2 linked regions of the Bombyx mori genome follow. The protein of the gene in region 1 purifies or fractionates together with the protein of each later gene. This does not show direct contact. Links are inferred from orthologs where the notes say so. Each region holds a gene or a part of one and is shown in the gene's direction. Other genes may lie near its edges. The genes, in order: uncharacterized protein LOC101737130 and S-phase kinase-associated protein.

The links.
Region 2: the proteins of uncharacterized protein LOC101737130 (region 1) and S-phase kinase-associated protein purify together in Drosophila melanogaster (affinity purification with western blotting; 3 studies listed by BioGRID, with this or other methods). This does not show direct contact. The link is inferred for Bombyx mori from reciprocal best matches to the Drosophila melanogaster genes morgue and SkpA.

What each region holds. Positions count from the first base shown.
Region 1 is NC_085125.1:4,946,327-4,958,383, reverse strand, and holds the start of uncharacterized protein LOC101737130, read left to right. Parts: upstream 1-4,262; 5' UTR 4,263-4,479; coding exon 4,480-4,584; intron 4,585-5,775; coding exon 5,776-6,012; intron 6,013-6,783; coding exon 6,784-7,006; intron 7,007-7,868; coding exon 7,869-8,044; intron 8,045-8,872; coding exon 8,873-8,995; intron 8,996-11,234; coding exon 11,235-11,377; intron 11,378-11,533; coding exon 11,534-11,705; intron 11,706-12,057.
Region 2 is NC_085119.1:7,149,946-7,161,069, forward strand, and holds S-phase kinase-associated protein, read left to right. Parts: upstream 1-1,167; 5' UTR 1,168-1,314; intron 1,315-1,405; coding exon 1,406-1,894; 3' UTR 1,895-2,574; downstream 2,575-11,124.

The sequences.
Region 1 (12,057 bases):
GAAATCTCCTGCCCGACGGTTTTTTTGACGTAGTGCGAAACTGCATATTCGTAAAAATCTTTGCAGGCAGAGTCATATTTTTGGCAATCCTTTTAAATGCAGATTCATCAGTAATCTTTTCAGCATTTGCTAATCTTGTCCTGAAGTTATCTTCTCTTTTTTGAAAAGTGTTCACTCTTTTCCTTAATTGTTTGATTTGACTTTGGTACATATTATATTTTCGCAAGGATAAACGATTGTTCCGTGTCATCATATCTGGAAGTAAAAAAATTAAATAGATATTAGAACTGAAAACCTAAGAATGTAATAGCTCTGAAATTTGTGATTAGAATTTGTTTCTTCATGAAAGCTACATTATCAGCAAGTAGTATGGGCTATAATATATATACAGGGTTACGTCGACCTATTCCTGTTAAGGGCATGTAGTTTACATAGTTTCTGACTGATTTGACTATGAAACACCCTATCATCAATCTAACCAATTTAGAGATATTTGAATATAATTGTTTTTTATAAAATTACCCAAATTTTGGCTATCAGCTTAGATATTTTGAAATGCATTAGCCTAATTATCATTATTACTTGATTTTTACTTGTAAAATAAGATGCTGTATGACCCCTGTAACCAATATTGTATGTAAAATGAATAAATAAGTCTATGTAGATAATTAAAACTTATAGAAACCAATTAAAAATTAATTTTTAAAAATAATAATAATAAAAGTTAATTTTTCTTTCAAGGATATCTAAAAAAAATATTATGGCGCCTGTTTGGCAGATGTACTTAACAATATCTATGTTTCATCAGCTATCTAACAAGGTATAACGATCTAGGTTTTTATCAAAAATTTGTAGAAAACACTTAGTTTTATAGGCTACAGGAGAGGCTAAACAAAACAATAAGTGAATATGTACAAGATACTAAGTTTATTAAACTTTCAAGTTCCAAAAAAACATCTTAAGTCTAAATTTCATATTCAACATGTCTGCCCGTTTTGCACACATCTTCGCATTGTTTTACAAAGCGCACCGCATTAACCTTGAAGGAGAATTATTATTGGCGAGGGACTGTTAGAACTGCTACCTGGGGGCTCGCAACTAATTTTTTTTCTATGATGTTTTATTTAAACCCTAGATTGTTATACCTCGTTGGATAGCTGATGAAACGTAGATATTGTTAAGCACATCTGCCAAACAGGCGCGATAATATTGTTTCTAGATATCCTTGAAAGAAAAAAAATCTATTTTTTATTCGCGTTTATAAGTTTTAATCGCCTGTGACTTATTTATTCATTTTACATACAATATTGGTTATAGGGGTCATACGGCATCTTATTTTACAAGTAAAAATCAAGTACTAATAATAATTATACTTATGCATTTCAAAATATCTAAGCTGATAGCAAAAAATTGGGTTTTTTTTTGTATTTAAATTCAAATATCTTTAAATTGGTTAGTTTTATGATAGGGGGCTTCATAGTCAAATCAGTCAGAAACTATGTAAATTACAGGCCCTTAACGGGAATAGGTTGACTTAGCCTGTAACCCTGTATAAATATAAATTAAGCTATAAGGCTCGCCCATTGTGACATTTAAGTATCTTGATGTACAATTAAGTATATTTAAATAAATAAACCCTTATGCACCCTTTCGTACACTAAGCTTCAAAACTCAAGTGCAAGATACATAGGTATAAAATTATATTAATATCTAAATTTCAAATTAGATTCTCTGCATTGTTTTTATTATTATAGTTCAATCATGATTATGATTAATTCCAATTTTTCTTGTTCAAAGATTTACAAACCTTCAACTAGGACATTGGAAGTTGTAGGTTCAATAACATCCAAATTCAATGTCTCTTGTACTGAGGAGGCAAAGCTTACTCCTAAAGAATTTTTTTCTCTTTCTCCCAGATCAGTTTCTGTAAAAGTAAAAAGAATCTATATATCTGTTAAAACTAGTTACTACAGTAACACAGTAAGTAACTTTTTTTACCGATTAAATGAAGCGATGGAACTCCCAAAGCGTCCACACGATTGTATCGGTTTTTATTTTCTTTTGCAAAATGCCGATCACATATGCGTTGGTTTCTGTAGTATTCATAGTCCTCTGGGGTATCCAGTTTACCTCCAATTGCTTGAACCCATGCCTTAAAACGTTCAGGTTTACTCTCTAGGCTGGGAAATACGTGAAACCTTACACCTGAAAAAATTAAGTACGATATGTATATACTGTTGATAACAACCGGTAAGCACTGTCAGAGACAATTGATTATCTAGTGTATAAGGGATTTCATTATGCTACTTCTATTGCTATAATTCAGCTCTAAATTATTATTAACAGCAAAGTACAAAAAACACATCAAGACAACTTTATCCAAGATTCGTAACCTGTACAAACATTCGATGTTAACATAAATTCTTTGGGCAATTTTATTTAATTTATAAATTTGGTAGCAGTTGGGCTGAATCCATTTGGTATTATTGATTTGGACATTTGAAACTGAATTATTCTAGAAGTTGTATAAGTATAGAAGCTTACCAGGTTCTGGTGCACATTTTAATATACAGCGTCTCGGCATCGTGTCGAAGTAATATTAAGAGCACAGAGAAAGTATACACTTGAGCGTCTATTCCGCAAAACCAACACAAATAGCGATAGCGTCTTATCACGAACGTCTCCCGGTCAGTAGCCGGCAGGCCGGCACACAAAATCTATGAATTTATGATATAAACTTCACAGAAGCGCGGAGGAACACGGAGCTCGACTACACACACTATCTGGAGTATCACAAACACGAAGAAAACAGAATTTATCACAAAACGCAACGAAAACTACAAACACGCGCATACGCAAATTGCAATCGCCATTTTGTGTCACTCAAATCTGACAACTTGAAAACTGTCGTAGCGTTGTCACTGACTGTCGGTAACTATGCGATGGAGTGGCAATGCCATCTTACACTTTTTGATGAACTATTATGTGGCTTAGTTTTAAGAGCGGTGTATTAGATGGCGCGACTGTGTTTTATAAAATATGTTTGTAGGCTACTGTCCCGGCCCTGGCTAATCTGCAAAAACGAGATTGTAGGTATTGGAGGGTGTCTGTGTGTGTGTGTGTGTGTGTGTGTGTGGGTCGCGTGAGCAAACACCACAGTCGCGTAAGGCATGACAGGCTGTAAGCAAGTTTTCTAAAGTGTCACCTTTTTCCGAAGGGACATTTTACTCCGTTTACAGACAATGAGGTAGAGCCTGCCGAGAATAAACGCGGCACGATCGCAGACTGATTTTATATGTGGGCGGAATGTCATGGATGCATCCAGGGTGACACCCAGGCGATTGACCGAAGTTGGCCGAAGAGGGTGATCGGGGGTGTGAGATTCCTCCTCCTAATTCGGGCGGAAATCCGCGTGGAGTTTCCCCTTTGAAATAGCATCGCAGTGCTTTTCGCTGGGTTGATGTTTATGCACCGTTTTCGGAACGACGTGTTTCCTCGCGATTAGGGACTTGTTTCTACTCGAATAGCATAAAGCCGTGTCGTCGGCGAATAAAGCTCACTCGTAAGGTTGGCGGCGACCGGGCAATATCGTTGACGAATAAACTAAATTAAAATTAAATAGAAGCGGTGAGAGGACCGAGCCCTGCGGGACTTCAGTCGTGAGCGGTCGCGGGGAGAAGCGGGTTCCCTCGCCTCGAAATCAAAAAAAGCGGTTTGACAAGAAATCCCGAGCAATAGTTTCAAAATCAAACCGTTGTGCCAGACTTGGTCGAACGCTTTTGCCACGTCGAAGAAGAGAGCTCCCGTATACCTATAGCGGTATTGATCGGTTAAGTGTTTTATTTTGTCTATTTAGTGTTTCTTCAGGTTTAAATGTGTAATAACGGTGGTTTATTAACTGTTTACTGTCTAGTATCTGTGAAAGTCTAGTAACTGTTTAGTATCTGTGAAAGTGCCCAAATGTGGGAAAATGAAACCAAGCCGCTGGACGTAACTTCTTGGGATCCTCCAAAAAGTCCACTGAGAAAGTCTCAGTAAATGACCACCATTTTATCCAGATTATGTTTCATCCCCATCTCATCTCATTTCATTTTATTTCATACCATGTTTCGTAATATTAATCAACTTTGTTGGACGGTTAAATTTGAGGGGATTGGTTTCTGTAGGCTGATGAGAGGCTATTACACTGATATTAATAATGGCCAACATGAACAGTTTCCTTCGTTTTTTACTATTCATAATTATAGAAATCATAATACTTGACACTGGCTAATGCACAAACCGTGCCGGAGACAAAAAATAAAGAAGAAGAAGAAAATCACAGATAAACACTATAATTTATTTTTATGAATAAACAGTAAGGAAACTGAATTTAGGCTTTGTATTAATTAAATAAATACCTAAATAAAATCCTGCCTGCGAAGTCTGTAAAACTGCAAAAGTTCAAGTGTAAAATTAATACATCATCAAGTGCCAGCAATGACTGCTATAGGTCCGGAATTCATTGACTATATAAAGAAGTTAGAAGATAACTGTGACAAACTAGTGACTTCATATGAACAACCATTTGATTTTGAGTATGATGTGAGTAAAATACTGATTTCTTAAATATAACATTAGGTTTTTACAGTAAACACTACAATAAAAATAAACTTTACACCCTGGTACATTTTATATTCTACTTGATTTTTCAACATTGTAATACTAATTGAAATAAAAGCAAACTTCACTGGACAACTAAGAAAAATGGTTTCTCTAATTTTCTAACATTGCAAAAGTTTTCAAGTGGTCTCTTCAGGGCCAGGTTAAATTGAGAAGAAAATAGGAATTATAGTTTTCTAGAAAATCTTTGCAATGCCTAGAGGGTTCAAAGGTGAGGACAAACCCTTATAATTTCATGTCTATTGTATTGCACATTGTTATTAACTAAAAAATATTAAGACAAGACACCAAATAGGAATCAATGATTTTTTAAATTTGCCATAGTAAAAAAATTTAGATTTGTTTGTTTGCTTGTTGGCATGTTTTAAATATATTGCTAAACATAATTTCATTATTTCCTTGATGCCATCCTAACACCTACAATGAGAGTTTGGGACAAAACAATAGTATAGTAAGCGGCACGTAAGTTGGCAAGGTTTTGGTGTAGTGGGGGTAATGTCGCGCATAGTGCACATTGCAACAAAAATATGGTCACTTTTATTGCCCGCATATAATTTTATTTTATTTTATTTTATTTTTTATTTGCCATAATTTGTTTTTAAGCCTGTGTGCTTAGAAGAAAGTTAAAGAAAAGAGAGGAATTCGTGAAGTGTATTAGTTGTTATAAATAAAATACAATTAAAAGGTAAGGAGTTTATTTAAAAAAATATACTTAATATTAAAAATTATGTGTCGCCGTCGTTACTATCATTTTCTAATAGTGCTACCCCTTGGATTAAATTTATGGTAGCACCTGAGCTGGTGGAAGGAGTTGGCTCTTCATCGTTAACATAACAAAGCGTCGCTGTCGTCACTGGCGTAAATAATAAAACGCTCAGTGACTGAATCGACTATATGGTCATTGGTATTTGGTCCTGGCATTACAAACAAATTTAAAAGAATAACGACTTCTGTGCATCTAACGACTCTTGCTAAGTTACGTGCTGGGGACTATACTTTTGTTTTAATTAGTATTTGAAAAATACTTGCTTATCGAAATTTGAAAATATTAAAAAAATTCCATACAAGCATCAATACTTATAACATAATTCATACATATTACATGTTTTTCAGAATTCAACATGTCATGTCTGTAATGGATATTATGGCCCTAGTTTTGGGGAACCAGTCTGCGTCACTTGCCATGCTTTTCTATTCCCTGATTTTCCATCATACCTTCCAACTTCCTACTTCTGTACTGAAAAAACAGATGATGGTGATTCTGGCAATGATGAACCTTCGGATCTCAACTACAGCTCTGAAAGGAGGTTACATAGAACATGTACATTGCCAGCTTGGTGGTATTATAGGGTAAGTAAATGAATTCAAATAAAAGTGTGCCGTTGCTCTCTGATTTATCTGTAATTAAAATTTTTAGGTATATAGGTTCAAACTTTGATTTCTTTCTGTCAACTGTTAATGGCACTAACATTGTGATAGAAACATCAGCAACTACAATATCCACTGCTGACGGATGGATTAAAATTCAATTTTTAAAATTTAGAGCTATAAACTACATCTAGTTAAAAATGTAGATTTTATAGTTACAGCGGTTGATATGTTTTTAGTCAGAACTTTTTTTTTTATTGCTTTATGGGTGGACGAGTTCACAGCTCACCTGGTGCTAAGTGGTTACTGGAGCCCATAGACATCTACAACGTAAATGCGCCATCCACCTTGAGATATAAGTTCTAAGATCTCAGTATAGTTACAACGGCTGCTCTACCCTTCAGACCGAAACGCATTACTACTTCACGGTAGAAATAGGCAGGGCAGTGGTATCTACCCGCGCGGACTCACAAGAGTAATTACGCAAGTTATAATTTTGCGGGTTTGATTTTTATTACACGATGTTATTCCTTCACTGTGGAAGTCAATCGTGAACATTTGTTAAGTACTGTTTTGTTCTCTGATGATGCTAGCTACCATGTGCCCTACCAAGAGAACAATCTAATATTTATTTTTTCTGAAATTAATCTTTAATTATACTAATAAAATAGCATAGTTTGTTATTAAGTTGATTAGTGTAATATCATTTTATCATGAAATATTTTATATAGTAAATAGAAGGTATTTTTTTAGAACTCGTTAGACAGTGAGACAAGTCCTGAAGATGAGGTAAGCAGGGCTAGCAACTCAGGCCCGGGTGCAAGCAGTAGCAGTTCAATGTCAGACCGTGCGGTGCAAGCACCCCCACCGCCTCCTCCACCAATTCCGAGTCTTGCGCGATCTTTACACGCCCTTTCAACACCACGGCCACCTGATAATTTAGCTCCAGGACTAGTTGAACATTTACCATCAGAAGGTATATTAGCCATTTCAACCCAATAGTTTCTTTTTTTTAGAACTTTGATGGGTGGACGAGCTTACGGCCCAACTGATGTTAAGTGGTCACGGGATCCCATAGACATCTACAACGAAAATGCCGCCACCCACCTTGCAACAAGAGTTCTATGTCACGGTTTTATAGTATAATGGCTGCCCCATCCTTCAAACCGAAATGCCGTACTTCACTGCAGAAATAGGCAGAGTGGTAGTAGCTACCCATGAGGTCTTATAATACGCCCCACCATAAGTAATTACGCAAATTATAATTTTGCAGGTTTGATTTTTATTACACGATGTTATTCTTTCACCGTGGAAGTAAATCGTGAACAATTGTTTAGTACGTATTTCATTACAAAAACTGGTACCCGCCTTTGGGATTCGCGCACCGGTGCATCGCTAGATACGATTGCACCGGGCGTCTTATCCTTTAGGCCATGACGATTTCAAAACGTTCTCTTGTGATATGGCTAAAAACACACAAAGAGGCATTTTAACATTGAGTAGACGTGTGAACGAATTCATGCTTTTTGATGTTTCTTGAGGCCAAGTATATTCTGGCAGCGCATGGTGTTTTTCCCATATTGGCTTAGAATACGCTCTACCACCAGTCAATAACGGTCGGCCATGGCAGCATGCTGGTATAATTGGAATTCTGTTGCCTATTCTCCGGTGAATTCCTTAGTCTATTTTTACGACGCCTCTTAGTCGACTTTTACGACGCCCCTTAGTCGACTTTTACGACGTCCCTTAGTCGACTCTTACGACGGCCACAGGAAGGCATCATGCTATTCATTGCCAGCTAGCCATGTTCCTACATTCGTATTTATTATTGTTTTCAGTGTTGTTGTGCATCTTCAGTTACCTGGACGATTTGTCGCTATGCGCCTGTTCTTGTGTGTGCACGCGATGGTGGAGGCTGGTACGAGCCCGGGTGTGTCCAGGACGGTGGGAGGACTTCGCGGCCGCTCGTTGGCCACTCTATCGTCCACTCGCCACGCACACCGACTGGCACAAGGTAATGAAGATGATAATAATATAGTACATTGTGCGCCAAGAGAGAAAAGTTGGGCATTTCCTCCCGCGTGTAAAATTGCCACCCGAGCCGAAGCCGAGGGTGGTAAACACGCGGGATAAAAACACGCGCAACTCATAAAAAAAACAATTTAACTGTTTTTGAATTTTTAAATAAACAACTACTAATTGAATAAGAACTGTCTGATGAACTCATATTTGTTTAATACTTCACTATTAAATTTTTTTGCCTTTTGTTTATTTCACTTTTACACTAAGCACAAGATTGCAAATTACCCGAGCACAACAATGGCGGAGAATTTTAGGTGCGTAAGAGCAGACGCAGATACTAACGCGCATGCGCACTTGTCAGTATCCAGGGAGGAAAAGTCACACTTTCTTCTCTGTACAGCAGGACGCAAACCGAACTTTCGGCGTCGGTAGGAGAAAAAATACTTATTCCAAGCTTAATTGTAAAAAATCATATATAAAAAAAAGTTTATCATAAAATAAGTTTATTTAATATAATTCAATTATGTATGGATTAATGAAATATATAAATGGGTGAAATGTAGTTTCGGTTCAAATTGTTCGTCAATCTCTACTTGATTAAAATACTTTGACAAGTTCAGTTTGTTGATTTTAATATAATTTCTGACTTTGATTGTACTCGGGATTAAGCCGCTTTCTCAAATCAATTGTTTGTGACCTACTTTTTTTTTTAAATACATTACTGCTGCAATGAATCTTGAATCTTTATTAAGATGTAGTTTTTGACGTGGAAATGTATATAACTAATGTCAGTTTACTAAACTTTTATATATATTTTTAGAAGTATCAATCTCTAGTGGAGTCATGTTTCTGCCGTAACTGTCTGGTGCAAATGTGTGTACAAGCTCAGCCGGCCGGAGAGGAAAACGCTTGGAGGAGAAACAGGCTTAGGATAGAACTCAAGGTAAATATTAAAAGTTTTTTTCTTTTTTAATTCTTTATTAGAGCCATACACCTATTGGGTTAAGTCGGCTTAAAAGTAATTTTATGTTAAAATGCATTGTACCCCATTATGTTAGTAGTCAGCAGCAAAGGGATTTTGTGATAAACAAAAGCAGAAAATATATACTTTGGCCAAGCGTGACTGAATTACTTATTTGATTATGTAGAAAGACTGAGATGGGAGTAGACAGCTAATTCGAACTATAATAAAAATTTAAATCTCTGATTTCAAAATTCAGACAGAAAAATGTTTTAGTCATGTTTCAATTGAAATTCTATTAATGTGATTATGTTATTTTAGCCACAGTGGAAACCTGCTCTACTATTCTCTGGAATAGAGTTGTAGGGAGTCAGTTACCTTCTGTCGTTTTCATTAAGTCTTCATACTGAGTATTTAAGGCAGTTTTTCTGTTAAAGCAAACGGTCCTATGTTCTGATTATTTATATATGTAATGATTTATTTATAAACTTTACAGGTATCATTTAATACTTTTCATCACTTTATATTATTATTGTAGTAATTAGAACAGCACTTAAATTTACAATTATAAACACAAACTCGAAGTCGTCGTGGCCTAAAGGATAAGACGTCCGGTGCATTCGTATGTAGCGATGCACCGGTGTTCGAATCCCGCAGGCGGGTACCAATTTTTCTAATGAAATATGTACTCAACAAATGTTCACGATTGACTTCCACGGTGAAGGAATAACATCGTGTAATAAAAATCAAACCCGCAAAATTATAATTTGCGTAATCACTGGTGGTAGGACCTCTTGGGAGTCCGCACGGGTAGGTACCACCACCCCGCCTATTTCTGCCGTGAAGCAGTAAGGGGCCATCCATAAAGTACGTCACACGAATTTTAGGACTTTTGAACCCCTCCCCCCCTCCTTGTCACAGGTTGTCACATTTTTATAACCCCCCCCTCCTGATGTGACGTCACACATTTTTTAAATTTATGTATGTATTTAAAAATAATCGAGAGAAAACAGCTATTTTCATTTTTTACTTATTTTTATTAAATAATAATCTAATAAAATCAACATAAAGTCCAACATTTCATAAAACCGAAAAAACAAACGACTAGTTAGAAAATAATAAACGATTAATTATATTAATTAAAGATAAAAAAACTTAATTATCGAGTGTCCATGGACTTTGGATCCACTCTTTTATATCAGCTATTACTGGTAAATCAGGCACTTCATTTTTAATTATTTATTATTATTAATAAATATAGATCAAGTTTGTAAATTTTTAAAATTTTTAATTCACATACAAACTTTGCGTTTTAGTATTTTAAATTTTAACATGTGACGTCACAAAAGTATTGACCCCCTCATGCCCCTTGTCACACGATGTCACACTTCGGTGATACCCTCCCTCCCCATTAACGTGTGACGTACTTTATGGATGGCCCCTAATGCGTTTCGGTTTGAAGGGTGGGGTAGCCGTTGTTACTATACTGAGACCTTAGAACTTATATCTCAAGGTGGGTGGCGCATTTGCGTTGTAGATGTCTATGGGCTCCAGTAACCACTTAACACCAGGTGGGTTGTGAGCTCGTTCACCCATCTAAGCAATAAAAAAAATTTCATGTCATCTTTGAATGCAGTTCTAATAGACAGTCAAATTTAATTCGGGTTTTTTTATTGCCTTTCTAGGTACACGAGCATACAGCTTAAGTGGTTACCGTCGCTTATGGACATCAGCAATGCCAGGAGCAGAACAAGCCGCTGCCTACTATTCAATGCGTACCATTCAGGTCAATTTGCACAATTAATAAGTGGTTAAGGGTGCTCATAGACATCGGCAATATCAGCGCCATAGACAGACCGCTGCCCGGGTTTCTCATTTCAAAAAGTTCATTCAAGAAAGACATGCATTTGGAAATGCATATCGAATGGATATCGATATACATATATGGAATGGAATGCTCGATCGCGTACGGTTAAAATGAAAAGAAACGATTAAAATAAATAACTTTAGTAAAAAAAAAGATGTTTAAGATGGCTGAATGACAAGTGAGCTACTTTTAGTTGTGTTGTTACAGAAGCTTACAGCTATCACAACGAGGCGTATAGTGGGACCACTGACCTGATTATATATGTAATTAAGCATATGAGCATACAATGAACTCATCTAAAAAGTTTTCAAATTTACTTTTGGTTAAAGTAAATATTTTTCTTTTGATTCGCAGATGCTACGCAACGATCCTCCGGAAGGCATAGCGGCGACTCCGCTGGACCCGAAGTGTTGCCACTGGCAGGCGAGCGTCACCGGACCTGTCGGCTCGCCCTATGAGGGCGGAGTCTTCTACCTCTACATTCAAGTGCCATACTCGTTAGTATAATTAAAAAAAAAAATTTGCTTACACGGTTGGACGAGCTCACAGCACACCTGGTGTTAAACCGTTACTGGAACCCATAAACATGTACAACGTAAATGCGCCTCCCACTTTGATTATGATGTTGAAAGTGAGTCGCTCTCGCGACGCAGGTATCCGATGAGTCCACCCGTGGTCCGGTTCCTGACGCGCATTCTGCACCCCAACGTGTCGCGGCACGGCGACGTCGGCATCGACTCCGTGCACCACAACTGGTCCCTTGCGCTCACGCTCAGCAAGGTGCTCATCTCCATACAGAGCCTGCTCACTGACCCTTATACTGCCGTAAGTATTGCATATCTCAACTGCAGCCCTAGGGAGGTACCCCCCGCCATCTGACGGCCGGACTCCGCGCTCTCCTCATTATTATTTAGTTTGTATATCAATGATATACCCCGGTCTCCGGAGACCCATCTAGCGCTCTTCGCTGATGACACCACTATCTACTACTTTTTTTTTAAAGGGATTTTATGTCCTGGTAACTAAGACCTTTAAGTCATGTCTTATACTAATTTATATTCTTATTTTTATGAAAAATGATAATATGGAGTGAAATGAAATGAAATGAAGATGATTAATTTGAGAAATTAATCAACTGGGATGAAATTAAATTAAATGAGATAATATGGGATTAAAT
Region 2 (11,124 bases), on another chromosome or scaffold:
AAATAGAAATTAAAAATTTTGTCTAAAAAATAAAAATAAAAATTTAGGGGTGGACTACCCCTAACATTTAGGGGGATGAAAAATATATGTTGGCCGATTCTCATAGATACCGGATAAGCACAAAAAATTTCATCAAAATCGGTCAAGCCGTTTCGGAGGAGTATGGCAACGAAAACTGTGACACGAGAATTTTATATATTAGATTTCTTCTTTACTCCATTCACAAGTTTCTTTTTTTTTTTAGTTGTGTGGGAAACTAAGTGTGTATCTATGGTGGGAAATGAATGTTGGTGTTGGAGGGACTTTTTGGCGGGAACGCGAGGAGTGAAGTGGTGTGATTTGTTTTATTTTGTCTATTTAGTGTTTCTTCAGGTTTAAATATGTAATAACGGTGGCTTATTAACTGTTTAATATCTGTGAAAGTGCACAAAAGTGGGAAAATGAAACAAAGCTGCTGGACGTAAGTTCTCGGGTTCCTCTAAAAAGTCTACTGAAAAAATCTCAGTAAATGACCACCATTTTACTGAGATCATATTTCATCCCATATCATCAAATTTCATTTAATTTCATCTAAGTTGATTAATTTCTCAAATTAATCATCTTCATTTCATTTCATTTATCTCCATATTATCATTTTTCATAAAAATAAGAATATAAATTAAAATAAGACATGACTTAAAGGTCTTAGTTATGAGGTCATAAAATCCCTTAAAAAACAATTGGTGTTGGAGGTACTTTTGGCGGGAGCGCGAGGAGTGAAGTTGTGTGATTTGTTTTATTTTGTCTATTTAGTGTTTCTTCAGGTTTAAATGTGTAATAACGGTGGTTTATTAAATGTTTAATATCTGTGAAAGTGCACAAAAGTGGGAAAATGAAACAAAGCTGCTGGACGTAACTTCTCGAGTTCCTCCAAAAAGTCCACTGAAAAAATCTTAGTAAATAACCACCATTTTACTGAGATTATATTTCATACCATATCAACTCATTTCATTTAATTTCATCCCAGTTGATTAATGTCTCAAATTAATCATCTTCATTTCATTTCACTCCATAATAAAAAATTTATAAAAATCTGAATATAAATTAAAAAAAGACATGACCTAAAGGTCTTAGTTACCAGGTCATAAAATCCCTTAGAAAAATTTAAACGAAAGCAGAAAAAAAAACAAAATTGATTAATGATTTTATTCATTCGTTCACTCATTGATTCACTGTTTGGGTTTAAGGAAAAATCTCCAGAACATAAGGGCATTTTCGTTTGAAGATAAATAAATTTCACTTAATTGTGAACATTCAAATACTTGAAAAAACAAGGTAAATACTTCGCTATTTATAAATTGGAAAATGGCGTCTTATTCTCAGCCGTCGTTTTATGATTTACGTTCCCACCGCTCTTTTGTTCTAGATGCCAAATATTAAGTTGCAATCATCAGACAACGAGGTCTTCGTTGTTGATGTTGAAATCGCCAAATGCTCCGTAACTATCAAAACTATGCTAGAAGACTTAGGCATGGAAGAGGATGAAGAGGAAGTTGTACCTTTACCTAATGTCAATTCTGCAATACTCAAAAAAGTTATTCAGTGGGCTACTTATCATAAAGACGATCCTCCGCTACCAGAAGATGACGAAAACAAGGAAAAGAGGACTGATGACATATCATCATGGGATGCTGATTTTTTGAAAGTTGACCAAGGCACACTCTTTGAATTAATATTAGCTGCAAATTATTTGGACATCAAGGGTTTATTAGATGTCACATGTAAAACTGTAGCAAACATGATCAAAGGAAAGACTCCTGAAGAAATCCGTAAAACGTTCAACATTAAGAATGATTTCACTGCTGCAGAAGAAGATCAGGTTCGTAAAGAGAATGAATGGTGTGAAGAAAAGTAAACCATAATAAATGCTATTTGCAAGCATCTTTATGTATTATCACTATGTATGCAACATTAAACTATTTTTCCCATGGCAATAAAGAATAATTAATTTAAACCAAGTAAATTTGTTTGTGTTGTAAATTATATAAAAATAGGTACATCATGTCATTGTGATTTTCAATAAAATTTAAATTTTCATATTATCATTTAAATTACTTTTCATTTAACTTTAATTGTATTATATTTATTGGAAAATTTACTTTATGAAATAGAAATAATTAGCATAAATCACTGACTTAAATTTTTGTCATCTGCTTATTTTTTAACTAATTGTGTGGGTAGTCTTGATTGTGTCCAGAAATTGCCAGTATCCATTGCAATGTTAAACCACAAAAATAAGTTTGTCACCATCAATGTCAATACAAAAAGTAAATAAATATACAGTCACAACCGTTTACTGCGACATCATTTTGAGCAACATGCTGGTTATAATAACCTAGAACAAAGGTCCCGGCTGAATGCTATATGACCGCCTTATTAAAAACATTGCTTTATACGACATTGCTAATACCGACATACCTAATAAAATGACCACATTTAACTAATATTTCGGAGAATTAGATCTGTTAGAACGACCGGCTAAGCTGTATTGTAAACAATTTGAATAGGTATCCACATTTGTCTTCAATGGCTATTAAAATCAGGAAAGAAAACAATAGGATTTTGTTTAGTGTAGGGTCTTTTCTAATTCTTAGAAACAAAAATGTGTATGCGGTAGAGTCAAAGCCCACTTCTTCATATCTTTTCAGTTAGTTTGTTACTTATCTATACACAAGACACACCAAAACTTTGTGGAGTTATTCGTGAAACTTTCAAAATGTTGCAAAGAAAAAAAACAAATTAATAACAAAGAAAAATTGCGTTTTGTGTAAATATATTTTTCCAATAATTCACTATCGATTTGTTTGTACTTTGTTTGTACTTGCACGATACACATTAAACATCACTGGTTGTTACGACTGAATATGAGCAGTCCCTTCGATGTTGTTATAATAGATTTTCACTGTATATGTATGTATTTGATAACCACATTCCCTTAGTCAGTTCCTGATGCTAAGATAGAATTAAACCATCAGCATAACAAATGAAAATAATATATATGAAACAATTTTTTCCTCTTAGATATTTGTCATTAAAATTACTTTTAAAGCTTAGTATATGAACCCATAGTCAGAAATGTCCGTCTGCCTCTTTCAAAAGAAACTGGAAGTGAGTTCCAGCAATTTAATTTATATTGTGCTACATTGTATGCTATGTAAAACAAAATTTTAAAGGTGATTATTTTTTGTTGGATTGTAATTTTTATAATTAAAAAACTACTTTTACAGTTTATCTTGAGTATATTATTATCAATTTATAATTTCAGTTTCAAAATCTAACAGTTTTTGTGGTCATGGATAAGAGGTGCAAGTAAACTATAAAATTTGTAATGAAAAAAATCTTATTGGCAATTATTTATTGTTTACAATCATTATTATTTTAATAATAAAATATCATTACAAATGAAAAAAAATAATTAATAATAATTATCAATTATTTATTCTCTCCTTTTCATAGAACATAATGTTTAGGTCTCATAGTTTGTTTGACTTGGGGTTTCATGTAATAGTCAGATGATTACTTTTTTTCTGATCCAACCTTTTTTCCTTTTATTTACAATAGCTTCATGAGCTATTTATGGAATTAAGGATTGTTTAGGGTGTATTGAGCCATGTTAAATTTCACTATTAGCACTGTCCAGAGTATGTTAAAATAAATCAGACTTATGTTGGGTTTGACATCTGCAATATTTTCCTTAATTCGTAACTAAATGTGCGTGTTACTCCAATGCTATCCAATGTATGAGGTTGCTATCTTCTCTCTACCTCCCTTGATGTACAGCAGGAACAATATAGCAGTAAATAGAGCGACCGGTCGACGGTGTATCGCGTCCCGACCCGGCAGGCTGGTTTTGGTCCAGCGGGGTATTCCGGGACACCAGCGGCACCGTCTGGGCGGCCCGACGGGCTGCCGTACCGAGACGGCCGACGTTTCAGAGCCTTCGATTCGCCTCGAAGGCTCCGTCGGCTGGGCGTCCTTGGGGTTAGCCGCGCCGTCTGGTTGTAGTGTTGACCGCGGTAACGCCCCTACCTCATCCGGGTTCTGACCTCGGAGGGGATCGGACGTCGGGTGTAAGAGTGCAGGGGAGTCGTTTAGTGGGTGGGCCCTAAAATCCTTGGGCCCGCGGTCTGTTCACAACACCATGCAGATCGTAGTCTCACATACCCCGCGCGCCCCTTTTGCGCGGGGACCTCGTAGGAGGTTCGGCCCTCTACCCGAAAAAAAAAAAAAAGACACATTCCTTCTTCTTTTTGTTAGCATTTTCCTGGTCTAGTGCCAAGGAATATAGCTCATTCCACTGGTTTTTTTTTTTTACATAATGTTCTCATTGTGTTACATTTACCTTGAGCTCTCTATTACAAATACAAATATCAAAAATATATAATTGCCATAGGTCATAACGGAATTCACCATTAAAGTTTCTATTATTATGGTTAAGTTTCCAAAACACAGTTATTGACTAATGGTGTTATTAGAATTTCTGAAAATCAATGTGTATAATAAAAAAGCTAATTAATTGTGTGTACTAAATCCATGATAAAAGTGATCTATTATTATCATGAATTGAATTCTAAAGACTTACCTAATTTTTTCTTATATAATACTGTGAAAGAACAGAAAGAGCATCTACCATTTGTAAATCTGGTATTGAACAGGGCCAAATGATGATGTTTTAAATTCAAAGTCCTCCATGAAGATATCAGACGCTAGAGATGTCACAGAAGATCATAAGGCTACACCAAGACAATCTTGCAGTAAAGTCTCTTAAGAAATGAGTACCTAGATGTTGTTCATTTAGATTTTAGATTGTTCTGTACTATTCCAATAATCCCATTTGTAGAGAAAATGAATTTATGATATTTTGTCGTCTTTTTTTTCCTACCTAAGCTGATAGCCTTGAGAGGCTATTTCAGCGGAACCTTAACTAGTAGGTAAGCTCACGGGGCTCAAGCCTGACGAAGTTGCTAACACTAACCGTAGCAAGAGCCGTGCTTCGCAGAATCTACCACCGAATCGGGAACGCGACCCACTGAGAAGATCCGGCGAGAAACTCAATGGGCTGTGTCTCAGGGTTAATTTACTCGTCGAGCCCTTCGTCGAAAGCGACGGGTTCGACGAGAACGGTGACCGGTGCTTGAAGTACCTAAAAGCACCATTAGTGGATCGGGAGGATCCGAAATGACATGCTTGGGGCGACGTCAACTGCTTTCCATTCTTTCCGCAGGATCTGGTTTTGTCGTCAATCGATTGATATGATTCTTAATATCTTCTGGTTGTATAAGTAGCTGTACATGCGTCTTGCGAAAGAGCAACCGGGTGAAGGATGGCCGTGATCACCGACCCATACTAGTTCTGACCCAGTGGTGTATTCCGGAGTTACACGTTGATTTTTTTTTCTTATTGCTAATATGAATGGTCCAGAACATGGCCCGCCTAATGTTAGGTTGTCACCGGAGTCCATAGACATCAACCACGTCCAAGCCGCCGCCCATCTTGCGAAATGAGTTCAAAGTCTCAGTTTTTACAATACAACGGCTCCCACACCCTTCAAACCGAAACGCCTTACCGCTTCCCGGCAGATATAGGCAGGATGGTGCTACCCACCCGTTTGGGCTCACATGACACCCTACCACTAGTAATTACGCAAAAATATATGTTTTTCGGATTGACTTTTGTTTCACGGTAATCCTTCATCGCAACGATCCGGTAAGTATCTTCTATGTTAGAATGAGTGACATAAATTGATCAATCATCACACAACGATCCGGTAAGTATCTTCTATGTTAGAATGAGTGACATAAATTGATCAATCATCACACAACGATCCGGTAAGTATCTTCTATGTTAGAATGAGTGACATAAATTGATCAATCATCACACAACGATCCGGTAAGTATCTTCTATGTTGGAATGACTGTCACTTATGAAGAAGTTATCGATGCAACTAATGATGGGACTGTTGAAATGTCCGTGGTAGGAGCCGCACGAAGCAGCACCGAGAACAAGTCCGACAAAAAACACCATAGCTAGCATAAAGACCAATATACACCGACATTTATTCTTTGTGGATATTAATTCTGAGCATAAGTGTAAAAAATCATAAATAGACCTGAAATAGAAAACTATGTTTTAGTTTTTGAATTTAAAAACTACTTAATTGCAAGCTAGATTTAAATACATTTTTTTAATATCTATACTTATTGTTATGACAAGACTAATTAAATCTACAGCAAATCAACTTTTTTTTTTCTTAGACAGGTGAACTAGCATACGGTCCATCTGGTGTTAAGTGGTTACTGGATCCCATAGATATCAACAATGTAAATGCTACCACCCACCTTGAGAATTAGTTCTAAGGTCTTAGTGCCAGAGTACAATGGCTGCCGAAAGGCATCACTGCCTCAATGCAGAAAATAGGCAGGGTGGTGGTAGCTATTTGTGCGGACTCACACGATGCCCTACCAAAGTAAATAGGCAATTTTTTTTTCGTGTTTAATTTAATTACACGATGTTATTCCTTCATCGTGGGAGTCATTCGTGAACATTTCTTCAGTACGTATTTCATTAGTATAATAAAACACGTAAAATATAATAATGATAGGTGGTAAAATGACAATGTGTTCGAAGTATAATTCAAATAATAGAATATGGAAAAGAAGGTTACAACAATTAGAGAAATCTAAGATAAAGTCTGACTCACCTACAACATCTTGTATTGTCACAGAGTAACTTGTCTGTTTCATCTAACAAGCGCTGAAGTTGTTGCTGCGCTAATGTAATTACAGGACATTTCTTGTGTAATATATTAGCAATTTCACCTTCCGACTCTAAATCACAAGTACAGCCAGGAGGAGACTCTGCAGTAACAATAATTTCATTTCCGCCATCGCTTCTCGGAGAAACGTCTGCGGTGTCTGTATTTAAATCGTTATTGGGACTCTGCGAATCGACATTGTAATCATCTCGTCGGATTTTCTTGTATGTTTTCCTGGAATATCTACAAATATTTTGTATTTGGTAATCATCCATTGTTCAAGCATAAAATTATTATTAATTTAAATTGATAAATAATACAAGAGTTATCGTCCTGTGACTACGTTTTGCGGCCCATATACCTATGCACAAAATGTTTCGTAGTTTTTCTACGTTATGGACTACTTTATAGAGTTTTTTCTACGACTACTGGCGTGTAAAAGTCTAAAGGACATGCGATAGTTACCTATTTAATTTTGTTGATAGCTATGATGTCAGATGGATAGGTGACAAATAGTGACAATGATATATGACCAGTACTCGGACATAGAACGCAGGTACGTTTCTTCTAATTCAAATTCGAATTTTCAATACATCTTGTCTTCTATATATTTAATACATCATGAATAAATGAGCTACTTTAATTTTTTATTATTTTTGTTTGTAAAAGAGCGAGATCTAAATTCTTTGTTGATTATTCTCAAGGGTAATACTGCATTCCGAATCAGCGATAAAGTGATGTCGATTTAAAAGTGAAAGCCTATTCAAAGAAAACGTTTTTTGTATGTTTCTTATGTAGGCTCTTGGTTAGATCATAATATTATTATGATACAAGCCAAAGAGGCGAATGATGAAGATCCACATTACATACGCATCACGGTGCTCAGACCGCCATCGTGCAAAACAGCCCACTGAGTTTCTTTTTGAATGGGTCGCATTTCCCATCCGGTGGTAGATTCTGCGAAGCACTGCTCTTGCTAGGGTTAGTGTTAGAAACGTCGTCAGCTTTGAGCCCCGTGAACTCACCTATACACGTTAAGGCGAAGCTGAAATAGCCTCTCAAGGCAATTAGCACAGGTAGGAAAAAAAAATTACCACCCCGCCTATTACTGCAGTGCGTGAAGCAGTAATGCGTTTCGATTTGAAGGGTAGGGTAGCCGTTGTAACTATATTGAAACCTTAGAACTCATCTCAAGGTGGGTGGCGGCATTTACATTGTAGATGTTTATGGGCTCCAGTAACCACTTAACTCTAGGTGAGCTGTGAGCTCATCCACCCATCTAAGCAATAAAAAATAATAAAAAATAAAACATGGAAATAAATCCAATATTATGAAACGTCATTGTTTAATAAAATATGTAATAATTTTTTATTACATATTTTATTAAACAATGACGTTTATTTATTTTATTTTATTTTATGAAGGAGTTTTCTCTCGAGTTCTTGACTCGGTTTAGTTCCTAGCTCCCGCCCTGAAACCTTCAGGGAAGAGGAGGTTCGGACTCCCTTTGAATTTATGAAAACTGTATTACCCAAAACTTTACTTATTATTGTGCATGTGTGTATGGCTGCTTGTTTTTGTATTATGTGTATGTTTATATTTGCTTCCAGTTTGTTTATGTATCTATGTATACTTTTTGCCACTACGCCTGTTGCGTCTATTACTATGGGGATGGTTTCTGTGTGTGTATTCCAGAGTCGTGTTAGTTCTACTTTTAAGGGGTGATATTTACTAAGTTTTTCCAGTTCTTTTGGTCCTATATTGTAGTCAGATGGTACAGTTATATCTATTAAGTAGGTTTTATTTTCTGTCTTGTCTATGTATATTATGTCTGGTCTATTGTGCTTTATTGTAACGTCCGGCTGCACTGGTATCTACCACATTAGCTTCGCGGAGCTGTTTTCTTTTATCTGAGGTTGAGTCAAATTCACCTTCCACCATAGCGAGTCTAATTCAAAATTGTGTTTTCTTCCTATTGCCCACCAAATATACTTTACTATGTTGTTATGTCTGTTCACATAGTAAGTGCCGGCCAGTTTTTCACATCCCGAGATTATATGCTCTATGGACTCGTCTTTTGCTAGGCATAGGCGACACTTACCATCGACAGATTTCTTTAGAATATCTCTTTCTATTTGTCTCGTAATTACTGCCTGATCTTGTATAGCAAATACCGAAGATTCTAAAGTGGGGGACACGATTTGTTTCTTAAGCCAGCGGAACGAATACTCTCGATCTATATTACCCTTCTCTATAACGGACCTACGGAATTGTCCATGTAGCGGTTTCTCTTTCCATTTACTGATGCCCGTCTTTATTACTGCTTTCTTAATTTCAGTATCGGTGTAGTTTCTGTTTTCTGTTAATTCTATTCTTACTGCATTATTTTTACCATCTTTGTGTATTGAATGTTTATCTCTATGTTTATCGTGTTTAACTATTGCTTTTATGATTTGGTCCTGTTCATTGTTTAAATATTGCCTAAATTTAATAATCTGAGTTTTGTGTAACATTTCTATATTTATAAGTCCTCTGCCTCCTTCTTCTATGGGTAAATAGAGTCTTTCGATATCCGCTTTTTGTTGTTGGGCTTTATTCAAAGTGAATATCTTCCTTGTCTTTATATCTATTTTGTTTAAGTCACTATTTTTGTAGTTTATTATTCCAAACGTGTATAAAAGAACTGGTGTGGCATAAGTGTTGATGGCCGTTATGAGGTTTCTCGCGCTAAGTTGTGTGTTAGTGATGCATTTTACTCTTTTGAAGTACTCTCTTTTCACCTGATCCTGAATTCTTTTATGATCTATTTTGCCTGCTTCATCTATACCTAAGTATTTATAATTTTCGTCTTCCTTCAAATGTTCGAAGTTTAAGCCACTCAACAGTATGTGACCTTCGCTCTGGTGCTCAGCTCTCCTTCCAGATGTTAAATGAAGCACATTGCGTTTATTTAAGCAAAATTTTTATTATTATATTAATTAATTAATTATTATATTATATATATATTTTTTTTTATTTTGCTTAGCTTAAGCTGAAACTGTAAGTAGACCTTAGATCAAAATCGTAGGACTTTCTTTAGTGTCATTGGTGGTAGAAGCGTAATGGCTGACTTAATCGTGGGTCATTGTAGTTGCTCATGCAGTTGTAATATCACGGGCACAGTCAAACTGCAAAGGTAGTTGATACGATGTGATTTCTATCATTATTTCTGTTGTAATACTAGGTGTTACCTTTTCCTACAAAATTGCCATATAATATGCACAAAGTTAGTCATATTGCGGAAGCAGGGCTCTACTCCAGGAACTTCGGCAAACATTTTTGCCGCCTTCCATATAGATCTGGAATTAACTCTGCTACTCAGCGATTGCCAAGCGCTATATCAAGTCTTTCAAGACAGTACCCAACGTTAGGCTGCGGCAAGCCCAAGAAAAAAATCTACCCAAAACCAGTTCAGTGATATACACACCTATGTGTTTGGTGCAAGTTTTTTAACGTTCTCGATAGCGTAAAAGGTAGCCCAATTTTGTATGCAGTTGGAACAGCGCCCCTAGCGGCAAACGTAGGCAAACGATTCCATTCCATACAAATATGAGCTAACTTTTACGCTATCGAGAACGTTAAAAAACTCGCACTAAGCACACTGAACTCATCCCTCTTGTTGATTTAACATCGAAAAACGAAATAGGAGGCAGCGACTCGGCTGGCTTGGCTTTATTATTGAAAATGTATAAGTAACTACGAATAATAAAACTAATCAGTAAGCAATAACGCACGAGAAAGCTCATATTATTATGTACACATCAATCTGTCTATTTCTTAGGCGAAGCGATGTTGCGCTGTGATTTAAATAAATGAGACAGCCGTTATACAACGCAATTGAGACTTCAACCTCATGTTTCAAAATGGATAACGGCATACACGTTATGAAGTTTATGGGCTCTGGTAAACACTAACACCGGATGGATCGTGATCTCACTGGTCCCACAATGCAATAAAAAATTATATTAAACTAGCTTTTGCTCGCGACTTCGTTCGCGTGGAATAGTTACTTTGGAACAACGCTAAACTTTACCGACGACTTCATTTACGTAGAAGGTGAAAATATTTTTGAATATGAATGTTAAGGAGCTATTTAAGTTACCAAAATCACGATTTTTAAACGAGTTTAAAGGAGAAGGTTATTAATTCGGCCACATTTATTTTATTTACGTAATAAATAGGTAACGTATTTATTTGCATAAGGGTTAATATCATTTTTATAAAAAACACCTTCACAAATAATGCTTTATTTTAGAACAAATTTGGTCAGCATGAGAAAAGTTATAGTGAAC